2 linked regions of the Saccharomyces cerevisiae S288C genome follow. Changing the gene in region 2 together with the main gene of any one other region gives a genetic interaction. Each region holds a gene or a part of one and is shown on either strand. Other genes may lie near its edges.

Region 1 (3,332 bases), on a different chromosome or scaffold from region 2:
TTGATAATGTAATAGGATCAATGAATATTAACATATAAAACGATGATAATAATATTTATAGAATTGTGTAGAATTGCAGATTCCCTTTTATGGATTCCTAAATCCTCGAGGAGAACTTCTAGTATATTCTGTATACCTAATATTATAGCCTTTATCAACAATGGAATCCCAACAATTATCTAATTACCCACATATATCTCACCTTCAGCATCTTTTTCCCCATTTTTTTACTTGTAGTATAGATTGTTGTTTACGTGCACGATTAGCTTCTTCAAACCAGGAAACAGCAATGTATACATTGGCAACTTGGCCGAGTGGTTAAGGCGAAAGATTAGAAATCTTTTGGGCTTTGCCCGCGCAGGTTCGAGTCCTGCAGTTGTCGTTATTTTTGAGTTTTCCGATGTCTATTTTGTGATAATAGTATTAGAAGCAGTACGTGAAATAGTGCTAATACTATCTGTTATTCTTTTTGAATAGAATATGATTATATGAATTAAATACAATTTCAACAAATAGGTTTAGAAGGTGCATTAATATGGAATTTTTTCAATTTTTGTTCACATTCTTTTTCATTTACATAAATGAAGTCCGAAATCCGTTGTTGGCTTTTGAAATTTCAAAGCGTTAGTGATTTGGCCCAGAAAATATAAATATAGCAAAAACATCTAGATACAAGATTGAAATAAACTATGTTCAACTAATTTGGGCGCGACCTGTGATACCTGGGATAGAAATCCTTAATCTATGAGTAACAGGTAACTTTGGGACAACAGCACCAAAGGTTGTCAAAAAACAATTCCATGAAAACAATTTCAAATCATAGTGAGCATAATGAGTACTAACTAAGAATAGGGCGATCGGGACACTAATCAAAAATTTTCTTGAAGGAGTATATAAAGTCTCGTCGTCAATTTGTTCCCACATCGTCAAGTTGTCATAAGCACCACCATTGAAATCGAAAGGGGTACCCTTAATCAGATGGAACATGACATAGGACCCAATAACATATGTCATATTAGTCAGAGTCCACGACCATTCTGTGGTAACACCAGGAAATAAATTATAAAATAGTTTCAGCAGTATGATAATGACCACATGAATAATCCAAGCGCCGCGTTGGTCTACCCAAGTAGCATTCATATTTGGTAGAAGTTGCTGGTCATTTTCATCTTCAAAAGTCTCCGGTTCCACATGTGAAATTATGCTGGAAGAACGCCTTCTTCTATGATCTTTCACAGGTTCCGTCGTTTTAATTGATGAAGATGCACTGCCTGCAGAAGGAAACGGCTTAAGGTCCGTTTGATTTCGACTATACGAGGTAGAAGCCGCCTCAGCAGTTCCTTGATAATCTAATTCGGTCATTAACTAAATGGATAAAAATGCAATGAAATACAAAATAAGAATAACTCTGCTTTTTAGAGAATATGTGGTAAACAACAAAAGGTAGTTAGGGAAATTCAAAAAGGGAATATCAAGCAAAGGAAGATGTTATCGATCAGTGAATTTTTCTTGTTTCGTGAATCCACTGAAATATCTGCATCTGAAGGCGAGATCTCATGATAGTTTTCTAAGGTCTTAAAGTGAAAACATAGGCATTTCACTATACCCGATAGTTGTCGGGTAACGGCTTTGAGTCTACGATGGTTTATATACCGCAGCTCCGTTAGCAAAGGAATAGAGGAAACTCGAAACAGGTAGTCTAGCAATTTGTGTAGGGACTAAACATATTTCGACTATTCTCTATAATCCGTTCCTAAACTACATGCCACAAACTCTCGTATTGAAACATTCCATTAAAAAATGACCGTCGGAAGAGATTACGGCCTTGGTGCCTGAAGACAGGTGGCGCTGGCGGCCCTACGCGCTCTCTGACACGTCCGCAAACTCAACAGCTCCAGGCCAACTCCCCAATGACCGCCATATATATAGCTAGCTTGGATCAATTGGTCTGTCTCGGAAGCAAGTACGTTATGTACATCATTTCACTGTGTGAAGCAAAAGAAGGAAGACTAAAACTCTAAAATTAGTTAAACTAGTGTTTTCAGCAAAATGGTTTCCCAATTATTCGAAGAAAAAGCTAAAGCCGTCAACGAGCTACCAACGAAGCCCTCCACTGATGAATTATTAGAATTGTATGCTCTGTACAAGCAAGCCACTGTAGGTGACAACGACAAGGAAAAGCCTGGTATTTTCAACATGAAGGACCGCTACAAGTGGGAAGCCTGGGAAAACTTAAAAGGTAAATCCCAGGAAGATGCCGAAAAGGAATACATTGCCCTTGTTGATCAACTGATTGCCAAGTACTCCTCTTAGAAAAGGGGTATACTAGCTCCATGTAAGGAGTTTTGGCCTAGCTTTCCTTGTTACTATTCTATTATTATATTTTATTGGCTGCAAAAACGTGACTTATGTACATTTATAAATGCCCATATCCCTTACTACTCTCCCTGGGGACAAGGCGTAATAACTGTTAATAAATGCATATACTCTGTTCTATTTAAATTCTCGGGGTTCGCTGGAATATTGAATCACAATTAGGGAGATTCGCATGTAATTTACGCCGAGAATGATACTGATTTGTGTTGAATATGACAAGGTTTAGCGGAAACACGCTCTTGAAATTTTTAAAGATATTTTCATGATTTATATACAGACTGATCTGTATACATTTTTATATTGTCATACATAGGCTTTAATAACTACTCAGTTTTTTTTGATGGCGGCAGAAGCAGCGCTTTCATTGCTCTACACAAATCCGCAATTCAAGTGACAGACGCCAAACTAGTGGTACAGTACACTTACTGAAGCGCACCATGTATACCCTGATCTACATCTAGAGCTTGTTCAGTTTTTCTTTATGCTTTTAATTACGCCAGGAAGAAAACCGTTCTTACGTGGTGGATGAAATAGGAGAATTCGGGTTTCTGGGAAAACTTAAAATTTCTTGTTGGAAAAGTAGAAAGAAAAAGAAAAGTTTGCCTTCTGAGAAAATGCTACATATGGTAGAGACATCAATCGATTGCTCAACACGCGTTAAAAAGGGGAAAGTGATTGCCACTGTGATCACTTTAAATCATTTCTTCGTTCTCATTCTTTTCGTCTAATTTTCTTCTCTACCACTCATTATACCAGGCATTTTATCTACATCAAAATTTGTTTTGAATCGGATCATATCATGAATAGTACCGCCGCTGCAATAAATCCAAATCCAAATGTTATACCATTCGATGACACATACATTCTCTATGATTCGCATGACTTTCTATCATTCCTTAGTGCATATTTCTCGCTGATGCCCATCCTAGTGCTAGCTTTTTATTTGTCGTGGTTTA
Region 2 (3,626 bases):
TCAGCAGTTACGCTTTTTTGCTTTAATTTTACTGTTTATGGAGGTAAACTAACGCTCCTGCTCTCTTTCATATATCAACAGATAGGTCTGTTGATTGATTCAAATAAATTTATTTTCCTTATGTGCGCCATAATTATATGACCCTATAAGCTGCCGATAGCGGATTTTCTGTTCTCTATGGGAAACTCTGTAGTTTTCTTTTTTTTAGTTTAGTTCGTTCCCAAAAATGGAAGAACGTCAAAACAGTGATCTACATTAAGCTGAGGCGAAAACACTAAACGAGGAAAGTTATACGATGGCACAGGAACAAAATAGAAAGTATGTATGACGTTGAAGGCTGATTAAAGCATTGAAAGGGGAAAAATACTTGTGAACTAAAAAATGTACATATTACGATGTCGAAATATAAGGAAGTAAAAATGCTGTCCGGTTCTTTTGAATAGGAGAAAAAATAAACAGAACATAGTCGGGAACTTCGAGAAAAAAAGTAAGAATTGAAAAATGCATATGAACGATCAGATTGACATTCAAATTCTACGTATCACTAAAGTTTAGCCTTCTTTTTAGAGGAAAACAAGTTAGCTATTTTGGACATGAATTGTTTGAAGGTGCTAATCGGGTATTTCATGCTTGCTTGGAATTCCTCCTTTTCAATATCAAATTGTTTTGAATCCGAAGTATCTAAGATATCTTCAACATCGTCAGTATGTGGTAAAGTTTCAGGATCAACATGGCCCGGTGTGATTGGAATCGAGGTGCTTCTACCTTTAAACGCAAATCCAGGGTGGAAGATGGTCAAAGTGACCGTAGCGATGGCCATCATTAATGCATCTAAGATAATAAAATACCACTCGTGTGTGATCAGATAGCCATCCCAACCGACAACTAATTCAGCCAAACGGTAACAACAACGGGTAAAAATGGTTAGTACCGCAACGGTTATTGCCAGATTAAAATAATGAAAAACCCAACGTTTAGGTTCGAGTCTCAAAAAATGGAACTTTTCCCTGTATAAATAATCAACTTCTGTTTGCGATATCTTTAAGAGGCTCAATGAGATAGGTCTAGAATTTATGTGTTCCCATCTTACCGATATATATATACGGAAAAGGAAGTGAAACCATAACATAAGAAAGATGGCCATCGATGCAACTTGAATGGCCAAACCAGCAATGAAAACATGATTGCCGGTTGTTGTGGACGTTCCATCTGTGACCGCCACACCACACAGGCCACCGCCTACAGCTTGCACCACAAGCGATACGATATCGGAACATATGAAAATAAAAGAATACGCCATTGGAGAGGGCAATAAAGAGAACCTGTGGCCGTATACTTCTATAAGCTTTGCAAGTTGATAATAAATACCACCCATTGTGAAAACTGGTGCAATAGTCAAACAAATCATGTTCAAAAGAAAAGCGTCCATATCGGCGACATTAGAATGCGACCACGTCCTCCCTATAAATCCAAGAACTTCCAAAATACCTGTGCATATAAAAGCGATTGAAAACCAGTATTGGCGCATCAGTAACTGTACGACATGTATTGTCAGTAGTATACCCCAAATGACAATCATCGTGATATTAAAACGAAGGTTCGGTACCATACCACCATAAAGGGAATTACTGTTAGCTGCTGCTTCTAACTGTGGCAAAAGACTGCCTAACGTATTATTTGTTGCGTTGGACATTTTGAATTTCTCAACGTCTATAATCAGAAAAAAAGTACTGTGAGAAATCTATTTTAGAACAACCAGCAGTAATTAGTTACGCCCTTAGTATACTATTGCTTGAACTGCTAGGAAACCAGAGTTTACGTAGAAAAGTAATGAATTTTAAGTCTACTACTGAAAGAAAAAAAAAAAATACTTTACTGTGCAAGCGACAAGGAAAACTCTTCTTATTTCTATTGATTCTGGGGTCGACTGCAAATAATAAACCTTATATAGTGTTTTGCCCATCAGCTCAACTGTTTTAGGTGAAAATGGGAGGCACACCAAAGAAAAATAAACAGGGCAAATTAGAGCTCCGTGGGTACAACCGATCAGAATCACACCTATTCCCTTTTAGAGAGCGAGATAGCGAGAAAAAGTCAAGAGCTTTTCGACATTTGCGGAAAAATTACGGGGGATGCTTACGTACAGCTAGGGGGCGACAGAACCCTCAAGGCATGGCCGTGCAGCACTCGCACAGGACTTGGTGCAAGAAGTTCGGTTACTAATGAGAATGTCAACTATCGGAGCTGCCACAACTACTAGGCAACGTCGTTTTCCAGTGGTCCCTGACATATCAATTGCCGCACTGTCACTGTGCGCAAATATAATAGGAAACAGAGGACCGACGGAGACCATATCTTTCCGCGGAAAAAGAGTCCGAGCGAAGTCCGGAAGGAAATATGACGGAGCAAGAATGCTTCCGCGGATGTAAAAGATTGTGCTATGCTCTGGATTGCCCTCTCGGAGAGTTTTGTTGGTTTGTTTCACTGAAGCCATTGATAATAAACTCTTTATTGGGTGATGACGAGGCTGAGCACCAAAAAACCTAAAAGGAAACCAAAAGTTTAACTCATTAAATAAGTTGTGACTATATTTCAACACGCGCTCTAATAAATATAGCCTTTCTTTTAGCTTTTCTATAAAACTAGATAAAAATAGTAATTTTTGAGAGTACTTAAGGCAACAGAAGGAGTGAGTAAAAATAAAAAAGAAGCGTGGATGCGCTCAGCCTTGTAAGAAATTGTCCAGGACATCTTGAAATTTACCATGAGAAGCCTTGTTTGCTTTGCCTAAGATTTCTTCGGCGGTTTTGTAAGCTTCTTCTTGTTCAGCACTTTCATTGTCAAGCAGGTTACCTAGGTCAATATATGCTTCGGCGACTTGAACCCAGGTGTCCGGATCATCCTCCAGTTTAGCCTTTTCCAAGTATTCTAAAGCCTTTTTTGTGTGCTTCAAAGCGGTTTCTTGGGCGTTCTTGGCTTCCTTGTCGCTAACCTTTTCAGAACCGCCATCATCGTACTGTAGGCTTAAGAAAACTTTACTTGGTTCTTCAGCTTTTTTTAGGTATAGTTCCCCTAGGGTGTTAGCTATTGATGCATAGATTTTCACATCTGTATTTGTGTTGTCAAGCAATTTATCAAAATGGTTTCTTAGCCACTCGTAATTCGCTTCTAGCGATTGTTGTAGGGGATATACAGGGTGTTCTGGTTCCAACTCAATATCAATGAGTTCCTCTTCCTCTTCATTATCGCTATCTATGCCCTCTTGAATAGATTGTTCGCGACCAAAATTCTCGACGATGTCCAATAAGTCATTCACCATTTGTAGGATTTCAAAAGTAAATTCAGTATCGTTTTCATAAATTGAAAAATGCTTCTTACCATGTTCAAGCTGTCCTACAAGATCAAGTTTTTTATCCTTCGATTTCAAATGGAGATTGGAAATATATTCCAACGGAATCCTTTGGAAAATTATCTTTGCTAAAACTAGTTTTAGAAATTGGGATTCAGGGAAATGCGAAAGACCTAATTCGACTCTTTCGATAGCACTTTCAAAAAATGAGGATACATCTTTTTTTCTCTTTTCTTCAGTGGCTTCCTCATCGCCTGCCTTGAAAATAGTCAATTCA

The links.
Region 1: of RSB1 (region 2) and ORM1, extra expression of one rescues a mutant of the other (dosage rescue), as found in Saccharomyces cerevisiae (one study listed by BioGRID).

Annotation. Positions count from the first base shown.
Region 1 is NC_001139.9:558,712-562,043, reverse strand, and holds ORM1 (sphingolipid homeostasis protein ORM1), read right to left. Parts: upstream 1,363-3,332; coding exon 694-1,362; downstream 1-693. Other genes in the region: long-chain fatty acid transporter ACB1, read left to right, coding at 2,050-2,313; CAX4 (dolichyldiphosphatase), read left to right, coding at 3,176-3,332. UniProt on the Saccharomyces cerevisiae protein: Component of the SPOTS complex that acts as a negative regulator of sphingolipid synthesis. Acts by inhibiting serine palmitoyltransferases (LCB1 and LCB2) activity.
Region 2 is NC_001147.6:422,124-425,749, forward strand, and holds RSB1 (phospholipid-translocating ATPase RSB1), read right to left. Parts: upstream 1,610-3,626; coding exon 545-1,609; downstream 1-544. Other genes in the region: ETT1 (Ett1p), read right to left, coding at 2,723-3,626. UniProt on the Saccharomyces cerevisiae protein: Catalyzes the ATP-dependent translocation of sphingoid long-chain bases (LCBs) from the cytoplasmic site toward the extracytoplasmic side of the membrane (flip-flop). Involved in the establishment of the functional lipid asymmetry of the plasma membrane.